Kluyveromyces lactis: one gene and its partners. The main gene of each other region encodes a partner of the protein of the gene in region 3 in a complex. Links are inferred from orthologs where the notes say so. Each region holds a gene or a part of one and is shown on either strand. Other genes may lie near its edges.

Region 1 (4,220 bases), on a different chromosome or scaffold from region 3:
TTAAAGGTGCTTTGTTAAATCATCAAGCTAGAGAAGAAAGGGCCAAAAAGATTCAGCAACGAGAGAAACATGTGGCAGCTAAGGGTAAGCCGACTAAACAACCTTTAAGACAAAAGGAACAACAACAAGTGAGAGGGTCAGGATTTTTACCATTTTCTTCAGATTCAACTCTGTTCTTGGTTGGTGAGGGTGATTTTTCATTCGCGAAGAGCATTATTGAACAGCAATACATTCAACCAGAAAATCTTATTATAACCAGTTTTGACAGTGGAATCAAAGAGTTAAAGCTAAAGTATCCACATAGCTTCGAAGAAAACTACAATTTCCTTAAAGAGAATGAAGTCGTCATGCTGTTCGGGATCGATGCAACAAACTTAAAAAAATCTTTGAAGATCACGAAAAAGACTCCATGGCAGAAAGTAGTGGGGAATTCATGGACTACAAAGAAACTGGATTTCATCTTATTCAATTTTCCACATACAGGTCGTGGAATAAAAGATCAAGGCAGAAATATTCACGAACATCAACAATTGGTGTACAAATACTTTGATAGTTGTAAGCAGCTGTTCAGACTCGTAAACAGTAGCCAGATTATGTTAAACTCAAGCATTTCTATGGGTGGATACTCACTAAATAATGAAACTCGAGTTGATGATGAAGGTTATGGAAAAGTGGTTCTTTCTCTATTTAGTGGCGAACCATACGATTCATGGCAAATAAAAATACTAGCGAAAGATAACGGTTGGAAAGTGGATAGATCAGGGAAATTCGACTGGTCCAAGTTTCCAGGGTATCATCACAAGCGTACCAATAGTGAAATGGATACTACCAAACCAGCTGAGGAAAGAGATGCCAGAATGTACGTTTTCGAAATGTTCAATAAACGTAAACATTCCAAAAAACCTTTGAAAGACGACAGCGATGATGAATAAGAAAATACATATTCTCTATTATATCTAAGTAGGATACATTTTGATAAAGTCTGTTGTAGCATATATTGATTTATCAATAGGGTCCATCACTTGGTTTTCTTTAAGTTTAGTGTACCCCATTTTGTTTAGTTTTCGAGATAATGATATTAGCTTTTCAGAGTCGTAAATATTGCCATTTGGCAACATTACTGGATTTTCAAATAAACTCGATTGGATATGATGGGCAAATGGTAAGTTTTCAGATAGAGGGAATATGTCATGATTGCATACGGGACAATCTGTATTGACAACGTTAGATTTAATGTATTCATTTACTTCCGGATTTTCATGAGGGATTAGTTGCGCGGAAATGGTGTGACCACAATCCTTTGTTTTTAACGAAGAGATTCCTAAGGATATATATATTAATAGTGGATCGTGGTAAGATATTTTGTAGAGTGAGTAAAATTCATGTAGGAACATTTTATTCAAACTTTCCCATCTCTCGTGGTCCAATAATGGACCATATCGACATAATTCAGCATTGTGAACAACGTTACTAGAAGAAATTGATGACAACGGATGTGGTCGATACATTTGTTTTCTAAAATAGGCATGAAACAACTTTTGTTCGTTTGTTACTTCGTCGTCACGACCATTGTTGAGGCAGCTTTTGAAGAAAGCAAGAATACCCGCTGCCAGTTTTAGTTCTTTGGGATATATATTTGCGAAATGGGCAAGGTGTGTTTGGAAGCACCTGATTGCTGCTTTATAATCGGAACATCGTACTAATTCAATGTACTCCTGCAATAACGCTTGGAACTGTAAATGCGAACCTTTTTCTGTCAAGTGCGCAGAGTTATTTTCAATCCACTCTAATAGAGGACGAAGGTTTTTATTTTCTATAAGTTCCATAGATATCTGATTAGCTTCTATGAGAACTTCGTAATCAATCAAATCCTCTAATCCCCTAGTCTTTATAAACTCTATGCCAGAGTTTGATGCAATCTTGTTTTTATGATCTATAGAATTCGAACCATGCCTTACCAAATAATCGGCAATTAACAAATCCGTGTATGACCTGTACCATTTTAGAAGCTTGTCAGTGTTAGAATCATATTTGAATCTTTCAAACTGCTTGAAGTATTCTACTCTCTTCTCAATCCTTTCTAAAATTGTTAACTCATTATCATGTAGTTGCGATAGTCTCTTCTGCAAAATGTTCACTGTGTTGATTATATCATTCAATTTTTCTATTGATTGCTCATCCTTATTTGGATCTTCAAGTAAAGTGTTCAAAGTAGCGAATTGTCCCTGTAGCTCTACTGAATAGCTTGTATATAGGTTGTTGAATTTATCCCAGTTTCGCTTTAACAATTCGGAAGGAATGTTAAACTGCTGCTGGTTTAATTTTAGGTGAAAATCGACATTAGGTTCGTTTAACGAAGTCATAATGACATCTAAAGGCTTTTTGGTAGATTTACCGTCACCAGTATTACACTGATTGATCCAGTTTGTCAGTTATTTGGTTCATCCCTAAAGATTAAGGTATATTGTGAAAACCCCTTTCAATTTTCTTATGCAATTTGATGCAGAAATACAAAGATATAGTTACCATGAATGAAATACATCAACCGGTACGCTGGAAAAAAAAAATTGCTAAAGTCGAGTTGATGCAGTACCAACTGGAGGGTAGGAATATCAGGCGAAACATTACAGACGTTTGTTTATACACTGTTAGTGAAAAGATAAATACCAATGGCTAAGTGTTGCGCCTAAAGTTTAAGACCCAGAAAGCATCAAACAGACGAGGACAGAATATATTACATTTTAATAATTTTATTTAGAAAGCTCCTTGCTCATAATCTAGCCAAGAAAGAATGATTGGAACCATTGAATGATTTAACTGCGAGATGCTGAACTGGTCATACAAAAAGTGTGATATACACACAACTTACCATAATAATAAGACCGTACCAGACTAATGCCAGACTTCCATATCTGTGAGCTTTATCCCATCCTCCGATTCTCTCACCGTTCATCAAAGATTCAGTACCAATTAACTTCCACCCAAATAATCCTGGCAACGTGAATGAAATGGCTGTAGAACCAGTTGCACCAACAAGTGCAAGAACTAAAGCGAATGACTCAACGTTTAGCGCTAGAACGTATAGTACAGCAAGTAAGAAGAAAGTGACAGTCAAAAATCTGGAATCAGGGAATGGGACTGCTTCAGTGCGTTCATCAACCTGATCATCATTATCATCGTCGGTTGCCCTCGGTAGTGATTGGTACGTGTGGACAAATGAAGTGTCATGGGAGGAGCCTAGCTCTTGTTCGAGGTATTCTCTATCAGTATCATCCTCAATTTCCAGGGTAATAGGCCCTATCGTTTCATCTATTTCAGACTTTGTTCCATAGTTCAATTGTAACCAATGGACCATATTGTTCGCCGATATACGGCAAGGATGGAACAACAAGGGAAATGACAAAACAACCATCAGGCCAAGATTGAACCTAGCAAATCTGACAGAGAGCTTATCAGCATCATAGTTTAGTATGACATTTCCCAGAGTTTCTTTTCCGAAAGTCAAATATCCGAACAGCCCCAAGATTATGAAACAGGCGGATGATACTACGATGGAATTGTTTATGATCTTTTTGATATTTGTCATTGAATTTTCCTTCAATTCATTTATTATCGAAAATAGATTCATTGAACCAGTAAATGCAAATACAATAATACTAAATGTCGTCAAGACTCCAGATCTATCCGATATAGAGAACCAATCAACTTTGGGTTTTGGGTAATTTCCGAAGGAATAGCTTCCAATAATCAATAAACCAATGTAACCCAATGCCAACAGACCAATAACACTAGTATATTTCAAGCTATCAAAATGTCTTAATAAAGATAACGGAACGATAATGATTGCTGACAACAATATCCAGTTTGTCCTCGTGCCGCCAAATAACGCTGGGAATAAGTCACCAATTAAGATCAAATAAGAAAGAGCAACCCCAAAACATTGTATGAACATAGCAAAATCAAACAGCAAAGACAGATTAGGATATGTAATAGAACATAAAGTGAAAAAAGAAGAGTGACGTGGATTTAACAATGTCTTTGAGCATTTTGCTAGGATAAATAAGCCGTACCCTGATGTGAATGCAGCCATCAGTATCAAACTAACAGCAAAAAAAACCCCATCACAACGGAAAGCATATGGAATAGCTAATAGGCCTGCGCCGACAATAGTCTTTATAAGGTTTATAGTAGATGATGCAACAGTTCCAGTTGCTGACATA
Region 2 (4,882 bases), on a different chromosome or scaffold from region 3:
GATTCCTGCAGTTGCTATTGTAGGTACAGGTACTGCTTGGTACAAAAGCGAGGAGACAGATGCCACTTTCTCCCAACCATTGGTTGATATTGTGAAGAAAACATTGGATACTGTCCCAGGTGTTGTGCACATTGATGCTGCAGAGATATACAGAACTTATCCTGAATTGGGTGCCGCTTTGAAGGATACAAAGAAGCCAAGAGATGAAATCTTCATCACTGACAAGTATTCTACTTTGAAACAGCTTTCTGAGAACCCTAAAGTTGCCTTAGAGACATCATTGAAGAAGCTCGGTGTTGATTACGTGGACTTGTATCTATTGCACTCTCCTATAATTAAGGAAAGCAAATTGGATGTCGAGGCTAATTGGAAGTATTTGGAAGAACTATACAAGTCTGGAAAGGCTAAGAACATCGGTGTTTCAAACTTTGCTGTAAAAGATTTGGAGAAATTGCTTGCAGTGGCAGAGGTTAAACCGCAGGTGAACCAAATTGAATTCTCTCCATTCTTGCAAAATCAAACTCCCGGTATTGTTGAATTCAGTCAAAAGAATGGTATTTTACTTGAGGCCTACTCACCATTAGGTCCTTTGCAAAGAAGACCAGAAGATGCTGATAAGCTACCTTTTTACCAATATATCGCTGAATTGTCAAAGAAGTATAACAAGAGTGAGGCTCAAATCTTGTTATCATGGGTCTATGAGCGTGGAATCTTGCCAGTAACTACGTCTTCGAAGATCGAAAGGATCCAACAAGCGCAAGATATCTTTAGTTTTTCTTTGGCTAATGAGGAAGTCCAAAAGATCACTCAATTGGGTTTGCAACATCCAGCTTTGAGATTATACTGGACTGACGTATACTCAAAATACGATTCTGAATCCCAGAAGTGATTATTCCATCTCAGTATGTTATGTCAATGAACACTGGCTCTGAGAGCACACATCTTTTTAATAGGCTTGTTAAACATCTGTTGACTATATTTACAAGTATTGCTTTACGTGATACTATTCCTTTAGGATAATGTCGTATATACATATTTTCGTTTGCAGAATGAGGTTCATATAGGAAACTTTTAAAATATAGTTAAGGCAAGAACTTCCCTTTCTTCAAGCTTTCCACAGCTGTGGTTGAAATATGTCGGAATCTAGCGGGCCCCAATGCTGTCCCACCGTACCATCTTGTAACAACAACTAAAACATTAGCAATATGACTTCTTTCTAACAAGGTTAAAAGTCTTTGTCCTGCACCAGCCTCACCACAGTCATTTGATCCTTGTTGTATATTCTTTAACATTGCCGGCCCTGTCAGTTCACCAGGCACTGTCAATGAACCCCTTTTCCTCTTCTTATTTCCTTTCTTATTGTGCTCGGGGGGTATAATATCTGCCGTTCTCCATGCATACATATGCTTGTGCGTTGCCTTTTGGACGGCCTTATTTTTTTCCACTAATACCTCCAGTAACTTATCAACTTCAGACAGGTTCTTGATAGCATGGCACCTTGCTTGAAACTTGGATTTTCTATCTACCAAAACTTCGGATTCGTTCCACCCTATACCTGTCATGTATCTTCTGGTAATTCTTAGATAACTATAAGATCGTAGCATAAGATGTCGACCTTTACCATAAGTATCAAATCGCCGATGTATATTAATTTCTGTCCACCTGCTTGAATAGATGTGTGACCTCCTCGATTGAGCACGCTCCGCATGTGTTCATGACAGTATTGGGGTCTAGATAACCTTCATAATTTTACGTTGTTGTGTTCTCTGCTGCTTATGAATTTCTATATCGTCTGTCCTTTTATATCGAAGATTTAGCGATGAGGTTTTAGTCTTTCAATTTCACAAAACTCAATAGATGAACGTTATTCAGTCGAACTAAGACGTTTAAGTGAAAACACCCAGAAGGTGGAACGCTATCCTTATAATATCCAGCCAAGATTACCTGAATGCAATCGAATTTCACCTTTTTGGTTTCACAACCATCATGTTCGAAGACAACTCCTTCAGGTTACCGAGCTTTCCAATGTAAAGATGACAGGATCCATCCTTTGAAGGTAAACACCAAAAATCGGGCTGCTGATACCAATAGCATAATACAAAAGTTCTGTTATCTACGACCAAGGAGTATGCCTATTGTACCGACATCAAAATATCTGCACAATCAAGAGCATTCAGACTTTCTTTTGGTTGCAAGGAATAATGGCATAATCGAAATAATAAAGGACTACAATTTTAAGGTAACCAATAACGTTCCTTTACGACCAGATTTTCTACTATTTTGCGTACCAATGACTTCGAGTATAACTACAAATGATACAACCATTGTTGGTTTAGAGTATAAAGATAAGTTTCTATATGTATGTTCTGCGGTTGGTGACATATTTGGGTTCATATTGAACTTACCAGACGATTACGTTCAAGACGAAGAATTTCAAGCATCACCTTCCTATAAACGGTATAGAGATTCTTTCTCTTGGAGATCGGACATAGTACAATCTTCTGACGCAACAGCTGCAGAACGGAGCTTAAAAGAAATCACTCGATTCAGAAAAGAACATAGTTGTGGCCACATTTGTTATTATTGTTATCCTATCAATGAAGACGGATTCTTCCATGAAACGATAAAACAATGGTATCCCGACCCTGTACCGACATTTTCAAATTGTTTTGTTACGTTTTTGAGGACAGATGTTAGCTCATTTCATATCAACCCGATGGACAGATTCAGTGTCATCACCGTGGCACCGCAGACGCCGTTAACAATTCACAAAATACTCTTACCTGAGGTGTATACGACATTCTTCTCAGAATTTGTAAAGCTTAAAGATGAGTACTTCTCCAAAAAGCACAGAAGGGTTTCAGAACCTTCCAGTTTTGATTTTATGTCAAGAGCGGTTCATGGGACAGCTTTTCAAGAATATTTGAAGAGAGATCGTTCAAGCTTTGTCATGGAACAAGATGTTAGGGTATGGAGGGGAATGCTGGTTTGCGATATGGTTTGTGAATTCAAATGCTCCTCCGTTTGGAGGCAAAAACAAGGTAATATGAAAGATGGCTTACATGAATTGTTCTTTTATGACAAAAAACAAGAAGCAAATAATCGCAATGAAAGCGATTCTGTTGCTAGAAATGAAACTGTAGTCGACTTGGAGCTGGATTCCCAATCATTCTCATTACTTGGAGTTTCTACCGAGATATTAGATAATCATACCCAACACCAATCTAATATAACACAAACTGAACGGTTTCTAAAATTCTTGCGGAAACAGACGTTCCCTATAAATTTCCAAGTGGTAAAGACAGTAAGCCTCGACGGTGAAACAAATTCGACAGGGTATGAAGCTGCAACTTCTTTTCTTACAGATACTTACAGAGATATGGATGTTGTTGTTGTGGACAAATTTTTAAGTGTAAACGCTTTTCGTCCTAAATACGTGGACGAGCCTCTGATGAAGTTAGATTCAATACATGACTATCTGGAAGTAAATGAAGAAGACAGAGATGCTCATGTAGCTTTAAATAATCTCTCCTCATTCATCAAGTTTTTCATGCTTACTGATTCCCTTTGCATGATTTGGGATATCAATGGAATATTGTTGGTGGATAGATTTCAGCTAAGAAGTACAAGGAATCTACTACATAACGATGTCGGGGCTGTTAAAGTAATAAACTTCCGTGTAGGAATAGTGAATGATATTGGGTTAGTTTTAAATCAGTTCAAACAAGATGGTTCTGACTATTATATTGAGTTTTATTCCATCTTAACAACGTTAACGGGAGATATCGCACTACTGAGGGGTGAATTCAAAGTTGGCCAACGATTAGGTACTATGAAGATATTAGATAGTTTGAGAACGCAACAATCGGATAACTTTGTTGACCAAATATTGATTACAAACTACTCACTATCCAATAAAAGAGACGCTGGAATGGTAATTCCTGAGGTTTTTAAAATGAATAAAAGATCCAAAACTTAGAAGTCTTTCAACAATGTAAGTCAAAATAATCTATACGTTTACGTGAATAGCAGCTAATATAAACCCTAATTAATATAATGGTAATCCTTGTAGAAGATGTACAACAATCATGAAATAGCAGAAGTAAAAAAAAAATGAGGTGCTGATAATTAACCGCCCCTAATCATACACTTTCTGTGTATGGTGGGGGAGAACCCTTTGGCACATCCTGAGCGTAGTTATTTGGTTCATATCTTAGAGGAATCTGAGTTCTTGGCAATAGAGGATCTTCTACACCAGTGGGTTGATGAGAAACGGTCGTTACCGCAGATGGGCTTCCATATCTTTGTCCGTCATTCCACCCTTGCTCATAATAATAACGTGTTTCGGTATCCGTCCTTAGCGGTGACGTGACGGTAATATAATAAAAAGCATGAATCATTCCAGGGAGGAACCCAAACATAGTTAGCAACACGTTTAATAGTAAGTCACTGGAACATAAACCCGATCTCAATCCCACGGCAATCGGTGGGAATATTATGGCAACAATATAAAGTATCAAATCTGATACAGTACAGCAGATACAGCACAGACACATGTTTCAAAAGCTTTTGATAATACACTGCTGGGAGTATAAGGGAAACCTACGAGGCTCTTCTTCTGTATCCCAATGTTGTGAATTGAGATGATTAATAGGTATGATTCATTGTTCAAATTTTGACAATTATCAACTAAAGAAAACTATGGGAAACGCCATACATATGACAAAAATGATTGAAGCCACATAGACCATTTGTGAATGCTTATACCGAAACAAGTACAGGCTTTTGAAAGCCAGTAGCGAATGTATATCTTGACACCCCTTTGACAAGCTATATCTCGTTATCTAAATCAACATGGAAGGAAAATGAAGTCACATGGTAA
Region 3 (5,128 bases):
TGATCTTACGTCCAATTCCTTAAAGAACAAACCGTTCTCTCTTTCAGCTAACTTTTTGATAGAAGCATCCAATAAATCAGGGTCTGAGAATGTTTTGTAACTGAAAATACTCTTCAGATTTCTGAACAACACAGAGTTAATTGCATTCACTGGTGTTGTGAAAGTTGGCAACTGAGTGCTCTCAGTTGGAAGACCAAATGGATTGGTCACATATGATAAAGACATTGCGTTTGCGTTGTCAATGTGATTGATGCTGCCTTTAGCTAGAACAAACTATCCTACCATTAAAAACTTATCGATGCAGTAACACACAAAAACACTTTCTACCTTTATATAGTTCTAACGTAAATACTGAATGTTACATCGCTGGAAAAAGCTTTTTCCTATAGAAGACTTGCCCCGGTCCTGTGAAGCTCTCTCAGGTGCACGCTCACTAAGCTTCGAGAGTTTCGCTTAGTTCGATTTCTTTTTCGTCATTTGAATCATAGAGCCACAATTGTGGGATATTGTCACGTGATTTTGCTTCATCAAATCACCTGAACAGGCGGAAGTGGCTCATGCATGTGGTGGAATAGTGGTCTTCCTGAACGTTTCCATTTGGTATAGTAGGGTCTTAGCACGTTCCTTTACGTCTAAATCGCCGTTCCAATCCAAGATTTTCTTTACTGCGTCATTGAAACCTAGCTTATCGAGCTTTTTGAACCTTATGATTGCTGGACTTAAAGCCGAAATGTTTCCAGTGGTAGTTGCTGGGCGGATGAAATCTTTATGAGGATCAGTTGAGTCCTCTTCTTCGTCATTACTTTGCTCCTCTTCGTCGAAATCACCTTCTCGCTCTTCTTGTTCTGGGACTTCTTCTTCTTCTGAAGACATGTTTGATGCTCGTGCATTTAATGGCATTCTAACGAGAGGATCATCGTTTCTGTCTTCGAGAGCTGAGCTGCTACCTTCTTGAAGGGCCCAGTCCGTGTCGAAGTGCGGGTTTCCGTTTTCTGGTAGAGAATTATTGTAAGGGACGTGCTGGATGGAGGAGTCCCATATTAGATTCGTGATTATCCAAAGACACGCTTTAGTAATTTCATCTCCCTTGGCCATTAAGATATATTCTTTCACGATATCTAGTAGTTCATCCTGGGAAATAACCAGGTTTCTCTTGTTTTCATTTATAGCGGTGAAATTGACCACTATATAGAGTAGTGCTTCAGCGATCTTATTGTCACTGTAATAACTGTCATCATGCAATACAGTTTTCAATTTCAAAGCTAAAAACCTTAGGAACTGGTTTCCCTGAGTACATGATTCATCTCTTCCACTGACTTCTCCACTGCCGTTATTTGTGTTCGCGAGCATATCTGTATGTTTGAAGGAATCTAATATCATGTTGATCACCTTCCTCGAATTACATGTCAAATTTCTCAACAATTGGAAACATTGATTTAGTACGCTGGGCTCAGCGGAATGCACAAATTGTAGGATTGATTCTAAGTCAATCTGAGATAACAATTCTAGTTTGTCGCATGTCTCTGAATTGTATATCAAATGCCTCAAGACCCAAAGGGAGTTCGTCTGGATGACCGTAATTTCGGAATAGACGCTTGCCTCGTTATGGAATACTATAATCGGATTCCCCTTTGCAAATTCTGGCATCAGGGCACGATCTAAATACTCAGAGTTGAATATAGGGTTGGTAAAAATGTGTTTAATCAATGCAATGATTCCGTTCTTTTTCATGAGCGTTCTTAAAGAAGAAAATTCGACAACAAAGTTTGACATTGCTCCTAACAATTCGCCTAGTAATATTAGCTCTTGGCATAAGAGGTGCGGAATTCCACCATCATACGTCATTGAAACGATTTCATAAATCTCTCTTGCTAATTTTAGAGTATAATCTGCTAGCTTATTTCTCTTCAACGATGTCCTTAAAACTCCCACACTTCTGGAGCAAGCCTTCAAGCACTTTGCCCAATTAGTAACTAATTCAGAATCAAAAAGCGGTGGTAAGGGTGCCATGTTCCTCAATTGTGTCCAATCCTCACGGAAATTGTTCAAGATTAGCAAGTGTGAACTGAATGCGTTCTCCATATATTGTAAAACCGCGATGTTCTCCAAAAACAATAGCCTACACCTTTCATCCTTACCTATAATTTCAGAAAAGAACTTTAGATAATCAGAAAGCAGTTGAAGTTTGTTGGTGTCTTGTTTCTCCAGGCTCAATAGTCTTAAAAAAGTGTCTATCATACCATTCAATAGATTCGAATCGAAAAATGTGTCAATCACAACATTTTCCGGTTTATGTGCGACAGTGAACTCTGTTGCTAGAGAACAAAGGATTTCTAAAGGGGAGAAAAATATTGGTAGCTCAGGTTCATTCAAAGTCGATATGAGAGTAGGTAACCATAGTTTTATCGGGAAGGGCAAGTTGCTATCCGTATTTGAGCCGAAATCACTTCTATTTTCCGAGTACCAAGAATCTCCAAGTTGACAATAGAAGAATGATAAAGCCGACGTTTTCAATCTTATATCAGGGTGTCTTAATAATGAAGCATAGAACACATTGACCTTCATATCCGCCAAGAAAGAGAACTGGTTTCCACCATTCGATTGCAATACTGTTAACAAGTTTGATATCACAAAAATCAATTGAACGTCAAAAAGGTCGCTAATATGCAAGCATTGCGGTAGGGATTCAAATGGTTGAATCTTTTGTTCACTTCCCGCTGAGCCCCTGCTCTTATTCATGAGCTGCGCACCGGTGTTGTTAGGATCGTAGAACACATCATAGTCCATGTCATATGACTCCTTGGCTGAAGTAACCATAGCGTATTTGAAATTGACTTTGGGCACATATTTATCCACATAGAAATTAAACACATCCCTCAAAATCAGCACTAGGTCCTGACTTGTCATTACAAATGGCAATGTGGATAAGTATGTCATATATTCCAATACGATTTCTCTGTATATAGATTCATCGGTCCGTATGAGACGCTCAGCTGCAAGCTTAAAGAAACTCAAAGGTTCCACATAATAGAATTCTTGGAAGAAGAACTGCTCATTTGTTTCCGCCTCCGTGCAGTTCTCTACACAGATTCTCCTTAGCTTGACATACTTAGCAATATCCTCAATCATGGAGTCATTTGGAATCTGCATCTCTAATACCCTAACAAAGATCTCCGTTCCATATTTTCCAAGCTCCCTGCAGCTGCCCTTGTCTAAGTGAGATAGAATCAATAAGACATCCAATTTTAAGGAAAGATAGTGTTTGTAGTCTATGATAGCATCAAACAAGTCCCTGTGATCTTTGTAGAAGTTGAATTTGGCACTTTGGTCACCGATGAGGCCCTTGCGAAGCTCCAAAAGCACCTGCTTCGTGACTCTCTGACGTTGCTGAGTAACCATTGTTGTCTTATTTTGCACTCTGGCCACCGCGCGGTTGTCTTTTGAAGACACCCTTATTCACTCTTTCACAGGTTCGAACTATGTCAAATCCCTTAACCGTGAATGTAGATATATGATGGAATAGCGTTCTTGGGCAAAACTACAAATAAAGGCAGAAAGGATACAACTTATGGTGCGATCTCACTAGTCGGGGGTGTTAGGATAGACGGATGGTACTAGGTAAGCGATTGATATGTGTATTTACGTATTTTGCTACGACTATGAGGAGAGATAGGAGGTTATTTGCTTACGGTCACGTTTATTGCACGTGATACGATAAACGAACATGCATAAATACTGGAATGGGTACACTACGTCCAGTTTGAAGTTCCATGACTATCAGTAAGCAGTTTCACATGTCTATTTGGTATCCTTAACCTTCTGGTGATACACCTCAGTGTTATTGCATTCGAGATTTCTAACTAGCACTGTTTCACGCAGAGATATATATTGTTGATATTATCAACATATGATGAAAAGTTTCACGAGATCAAGCAACTTGACAAGACAAAGCTGCGAAGTCAGACAGGACTCTGTGGTATCTCATCAATTGGTAGATAGTTTCCCAGTGGCCATGGATAAATTACAAGAATACGCACATGCGTGCTTGGTTGATTTGAGAAGAATACATTCTCTGGAAGATGCCTACCAATCAATGACAGTTAGAGTGTCCGGTATAATGATAGTGACAGCATTAGTGCTATGGATCTCTAGTGGTACGACCAAAAAACCTCGTGGGAAGAAGTCTAGAAAGTCTAAGAAGGGAAAACATGCTGCTAAGAAGAGCCAAAAAGAGATTGAGAAGGAGAAGTTGAAGAACATGTCTGAAGAAGAAACCATCAAATACGTTCTCGATAAATTTACCAACGAATACGAAGAAGGCTTGCATAAGTTGTTGGAAAATTACGATTCTACGTCTGAAACCATGCAGTACCAACGTAATTTCTACAATGAAATGCTTTTACACCTTCTATTGGATTTAGATGGTGTTCATCTCGGTAACTTGGAAGGTGAAAAGAAGGAACAGGTGCGTTTGCAAAGAAAGGCTGCTATTAAAAAGATCCAATTAGAATTGAAGAAGTTGGATAAGCTGTAATGATTGATAGCAAACAATAGATTGATTGGTGGAGTTTTGCCAAATACTGAGACACAGCCAGAGCAAGAGAATAATGATCTCAAAAAACAACGAACAAAGCAACCCGTATAGTGTCGGTGGTTTAAGTAACCGTGTATACTAATCTTAATGAATGATTCAATTCAATCTAAACATTTACGGGAATTTACTGAGGGGAATTGGAGCGAGCAATATATTGTACTAATGGCTAGACCTCTCAATAGACCAGGTCACCCGAGTTCATTCCACAAACGACAAAACACTACAAGAGGATAGAGGACATACTTAACAGCTAGTTTCAGTTCCTGCAGTTCCTGCATTCTTAATAGGCAGCATCTCATATGCCACGATGATGATAGGTACAGGGTTCTCAAGTCGTTCTTCATTTCTGTTGTATGTTGTAATACTTATTGTGGTAACCAAATCAGGTAATTTGTATGACAGAAATTGAAACTAACCGTGGAAGGTTATTCGCAAAATAGTTCTTGGAACTATGAGCAGTACTTGATAGATATTCACACTTAAGTTTAACCGTAAAGATCTTCAGTTTGGTTATGACGACTTAATTTCTCAAAT
Region 4 (3,677 bases), on a different chromosome or scaffold from region 3:
GAATAACACTTTTTCTTGTGGTGATGGGAGGATTTGCTCTTGTGAATGAACTCTACATAACAATTCAAATGAGTGCCTTACAAATGGATACATGGGAACAATTGAACAGCACTAAATTGGACGAAGATTTTATTAGAAACCATCGATTCATACATGACGATTCGTACCATGCCACAGAATGGTTTGATGAAAAATCCGGTCTCATAATCGAGGAGTTCGAATCGAGGGAAAAGTTCTTTGCCAAACCTGTGCATGTCGCTCACATATACGTTAGATGCCAAGTTATCGACGAAGATACCAAAAAGCTTCTGTTGGATAATCCAATCACATTCCACATTGAATTCTCACCAGAAGAATTCGAAAATGAAAAAAGACCAGAGTTTGGTTGTACATTAAGGCTATTAAAATCAAAACTTTATCACTTCTTTAAAGATGGTCACTTTTATGATCAGTTCAAACAGCCAAGCAAAACCTTCACCATTACCAAAAATGTAAAAATCTACAACACCATGAGCGAGGAACTTCCAAAAAACCTCGACGATATTCAATTGTGTTTCTTAAAGATGGAAACTGGTGACACTATAGACTGTGAGTTTTTGGTGTGAAAATTGCAAGCTGCCGTTAAATGCTTGAAAACATAATGTGAATATAGGGAACCCATGCATATATAGTATAAAAGATTATAGATTTTGCACTAAATCACTCCTTCAACCCTCGGAACACCAACATCCGAACTATGCAATTGGTTTTCACACCAAACCCAAAGTTTCATGATTTGTACCAATCTAACGTCGTTAGGGATATAATAAGAATGCAAGTTCTCACCTAACTCTTCAAAGATTTCACCTTGTATGCGACTCATGTCGGAATTGGTGCTCATAGAACTTCCCTGCTTTTCTTCAATATGTGCTAGCTCTCCGGTAAGCCTTTCTGTCGTGATAGATTCCCTTGGAATGGATCGTATAACGTTTGTTAGAGTGGGAACTCGATTTGATTGGAAGCTGGATCCTAAGATGTCAGGTAAACCAGATTTTTCGAGTTGAGAGTTTATCCTCGGTAATATCGATTGCAAAAGCTTTCTGTTCACTAGATCAGCTACTTTAGTTCTCATATTTAAGGAATATAGCTGTTTCAACTTCTTTGGTAACTTAGCAGAAGGACTCGAACCATCCTCATCCGATAACGGGAAGAGAAGAAGGGTCATAACTAATTCGACTTCCTTCATATACTCTTTTTTGGAGCTTGCTTTCAAAGCAAGTTTATCCTGAGCATAAGAGATAAGCTCTAATATAAACTGCTCCTGATCGTTAGGGTCGCCCTTGGCGTTGTGGGAACGAATCATTTCAATAAGGTTCAACAACAATAGCTTGAAGTTCAAATCTTCATCTGTAATATGGTCATTCAAACTTTCGAGTACCTCTATTCCAAATACCTCGGTAATCTTTTCCATAGCTAGTAAAATTTCACCCTTCTTGATAAGTTCCTTGATGTATGCCCTTTTCTTAATCATATATACAGAGTTGAATTCTTCAATGTCTTTGTTGGAATTCAAAAACCCAAGCTCCTTAGCCATGCGGATACTAGATTCCTCATATGCCATCACCACAAAATAGTTCAATAATAACATTGGTATTACCGGCTCATTATTCGACAACTCACTGTTGCTGCGATCATAGGGATTGGCGTCCTGCACCACTTTCATCCATTGTTCTCTAGTGAAAGATTTCTTCTCATAGGTAGATTTAAAATTGGTCATCGTTTGTATGAAGCAATAAGTCTAGGGAAAACTAGATTGGCTTATGCTTAGCGCAAATAGTATAGTACCACTCTTTCTTTCAATATTAGGGGCTAAGGAAGTCTCACTTTCAACTTACAATTAGGTGCTCATTTTTTTGTTTTTCTGTTGATAATGCCCAGTTTCTTTACTAAGTGATGTTAAGGTTCATTTCGTGAAAAACCTTTGTGAATAAATAAGGGAACAGGCCTCTGACGACGAGGAAATGGGACAGATCAATTCTGAAAAGAAAAGGAGTTCATGTAGATATCAAATCGTGGTTTGTAGCTTCAGATAACAGTAATCGAGAAACTTCTCAATTTAAATCTTCTTGAATCTGGACTCTTTTTTTTGTATCTTTCAAGTAGAGGGAAACGATTCATGAGATGTCACTCATAGCAGCTATAGTCGACATTTTACGTAGTAATATACAAAACAGTAGACATATCGAGGGCATAACACAGATTTAAAAACTTTACAGTTTCAATATTCATTGGTTTAGGATCAATAATGAAATGGAGGAGGCAATCCAAGCCGTTTCTATATTCTAAATTGAAACTTACTTAGATTCTGATGACAAAAAAGTGTCAAATCAAATTAAGGAACTGAAATGATCTATACAAAAATGAAATGATATAAATATATGCGTACTTTTCCGAGTTCTTCGAACATCAAATAAGCCAGGTATTTAAGGCCAAGAGTAGATTCGAAACTAACAGAGAGGTAACTCGTTAGATTGCAATCTCATTATCATTCAATTGAAATAACAAAATAGAACCACAGAGCCAAACCAAATTTTTTTGCCAAGACACAGTCGATATCATTTTGAATAATATATTCGTTCAACATTGCTTATCACACATACACATAAATAGACATACGGCTAGTCAGTATAATTGTTATTATGACATTCATGGAAACTATGACAGCGTCGCTGGCACAAAAGGGGTCCCAAAGTCCCAAATCTGGTTCTATTTCATCATCTGCAACTCCTACATCGAGAACACCTCAATCATTATCCCAAAGTGTCAGCTACCATAGTGTTGCTTCCATCCCAAATCTATTGAACTACGACAGGCAGAACGATTCGAGTATTCGGACAAACAAGACGTCACAAACAAACATTACCGTTTCAACGACAGGAAATTTTCTTTCGTCGTCAAATTCGTCACCGCAAATTAGTCCTCGTCAAAGGGACTACCATTACGGTGGTCACTATAGAAGTGGATCCCTTGATTTTTTGGCTGACACTGCGATCGACCAGGATATGAATCAAGAAGAATTCAAACGGATTTTGAAAAGACTATCAGAGTACAATGAACAGTTGACATTTCATTTGCTGACATGGAGTTCCCAGAAGATTAAGGATGTTTTGGTCAATGATCTCACCCAACTTTCCAACGAAACAAGATCTATGTTAAAGGTTACGAATAGGTTGTTAGAGTTGAAGAACATGAACGATTGGAACAGGAAAAAACCGCAACTCCCTAGTATTAATCAGCTTAGAAACGAGCTACAAAAGCCAATGACAGAGTTTCAATTCCCAATGAGACCCAGGAGTAAAAATGTTTTCAACGTCACAGTAAGAAAATCTGAAGTAGAAATCCCAACCGCAGCTACCAACACTAAGATGGAAAAGCCGGTCATTCAAGTTGTTGGACATAGAGGCAGTAAAAGCGATAGTTCCATCGGAGGAACAAGTCATACTTTTAAAGTAGATAAAGTCAAACCAAGGAAACGCAACAGCGTTTCACAGCAGCAACGAATGATTAGCGTAGCGGCAGGAGATGGTACCGAGTCATGTAAACACTGTCATGAAACCGTTACTCCCGAATGGAGAAGGGGGCCTTACGGTAATAGGACCTTGTGTAATGCATGTGGATTGTTCTACTGCAAGTTAATC

What was found.
Region 1: the proteins of VID28 (region 3) and FYV10 are in contact, whole or in part, in a cryo-EM structure (PDB 7NS3), measured with the Saccharomyces cerevisiae proteins. The link is inferred for Kluyveromyces lactis from reciprocal best matches to the Saccharomyces cerevisiae genes VID28 and FYV10. Residues at the interface, in NP_012247.3 of Saccharomyces cerevisiae: Asp70, Ile71, Val72, Gly73, Thr74, Tyr75, Phe77, Asp78, Leu445, Asp448, Phe449, Ile456, Thr459, Thr460, Ser463, His464, Leu468, Pro469, Pro470, Ile471, Tyr472, Phe528; in NP_012169.1 of Saccharomyces cerevisiae: Lys305, Ile308, Phe309, His311, Phe312, Phe313, His314, Lys315, Leu317, Pro318, Arg319, Ile320, Thr321, Ser322.
Region 2: the proteins of VID28 (region 3) and GID12 are in contact, whole or in part, in a cryo-EM structure (PDB 7WUG), measured with the Saccharomyces cerevisiae proteins. The link is inferred for Kluyveromyces lactis from reciprocal best matches to the Saccharomyces cerevisiae genes VID28 and GID12. Residues at the interface, in NP_012247.3 of Saccharomyces cerevisiae: Gln786, Tyr787, Ala788, Gly854, Glu856, Phe857, Val858, Arg859, Thr860, Ala863; in NP_010105.1 of Saccharomyces cerevisiae: Arg24, Phe26, Arg32, Leu33, Leu35, Glu640, Ile641, Lys658, Leu659, Cys660, Asp661, Ser662, Leu663, Lys664, Leu665, Asn666, Arg667, Arg670.
Region 4: the proteins of VID28 (region 3) and GID8 are in contact, whole or in part, in a cryo-EM structure (PDB 7NS3), measured with the Saccharomyces cerevisiae proteins. The link is inferred for Kluyveromyces lactis from reciprocal best matches to the Saccharomyces cerevisiae genes VID28 and GID8. Residues at the interface, in NP_012247.3 of Saccharomyces cerevisiae: Asn15, Leu17, Val18, Gly19, Asp20, Gln21, Leu22, Lys24, Asp56, Tyr59, Thr60, His63, Gln68, Phe77, Asp78, Ser81, Lys106, Ala112, Tyr115, Pro116, Asn117, Cys118, Gly119, Phe120, Leu123, Ser141, Cys143, Lys144, Ile145, Val148; in NP_013854.1 of Saccharomyces cerevisiae: Glu151, Asn154, Leu159, Glu160, Leu162, Glu163, His194, Asn232, Ile236, Lys237, His299, Pro300, Arg301, Gln303, Phe304, Ser307, Asn308, Lys322, Ile323, Ile324, Phe328, Thr329, Val330, Tyr331, Asn332, Asn334, Leu335, Val336, Asn337, Gly338.

Annotation. Positions count from the first base shown.
Region 1 is NC_006041.1:764,042-768,261, forward strand, and holds FYV10 (glucose-induced degradation complex subunit FYV10), read right to left. Parts: upstream 2,364-4,220; coding exon 957-2,363; downstream 1-956. Other genes in the region: BMT5 (25S rRNA (uracil2634-N3)-methyltransferase), read left to right, coding at 1-932; AVT7 (Avt7p), read right to left, coding at 2,837-4,219. UniProt on the Saccharomyces cerevisiae protein: Component of the GID E3 ligase complex recruiting N termini and catalyzing ubiquitination of proteins targeted for degradation.
Region 2 is NC_006042.1:560,311-565,192, forward strand, and holds GID12 (Gid12p), read left to right. Parts: upstream 1-1,948; coding exon 1,949-3,979; downstream 3,980-4,882. Other genes in the region: KLLA0_F05775g (aldo-keto reductase superfamily protein), read left to right, coding at 1-889; KLLA0_F05797g (uncharacterized protein), read right to left, coding at 1,083-1,604; SNA4 (Sna4p), read right to left, coding at 4,143-4,556. UniProt on the Saccharomyces cerevisiae protein: Regulator of the GID E3 ligase complex. Modulates both assembly of the substrate receptor GID4 into the GID E3 ligase complex and its activity toward its substrates.
Region 3 is NC_006040.1:1,338,412-1,343,539, reverse strand, and holds VID28 (glucose-induced degradation complex subunit VID28), read right to left. Parts: upstream 3,400-5,128; coding exon 556-3,399; downstream 1-555. Other genes in the region: MET10 (sulfite reductase subunit alpha), read right to left, coding at 1-225; SNL1 (Snl1p), read left to right, coding at 3,908-4,534. UniProt on the Saccharomyces cerevisiae protein: Component of the GID E3 ligase complex recruiting N termini and catalyzing ubiquitination of proteins targeted for degradation.
Region 4 is NC_006042.1:1,569,369-1,573,045, reverse strand, and holds GID8 (glucose-induced degradation complex subunit GID8), read right to left. Parts: upstream 1,757-3,677; coding exon 695-1,756; downstream 1-694. Other genes in the region: ERG29 (Erg29p), read left to right, coding at 1-605; GAT2 (Gat2p), read left to right, coding at 2,679-3,677. UniProt on the Saccharomyces cerevisiae protein: Component of the GID E3 ligase complex recruiting N termini and catalyzing ubiquitination of proteins targeted for degradation.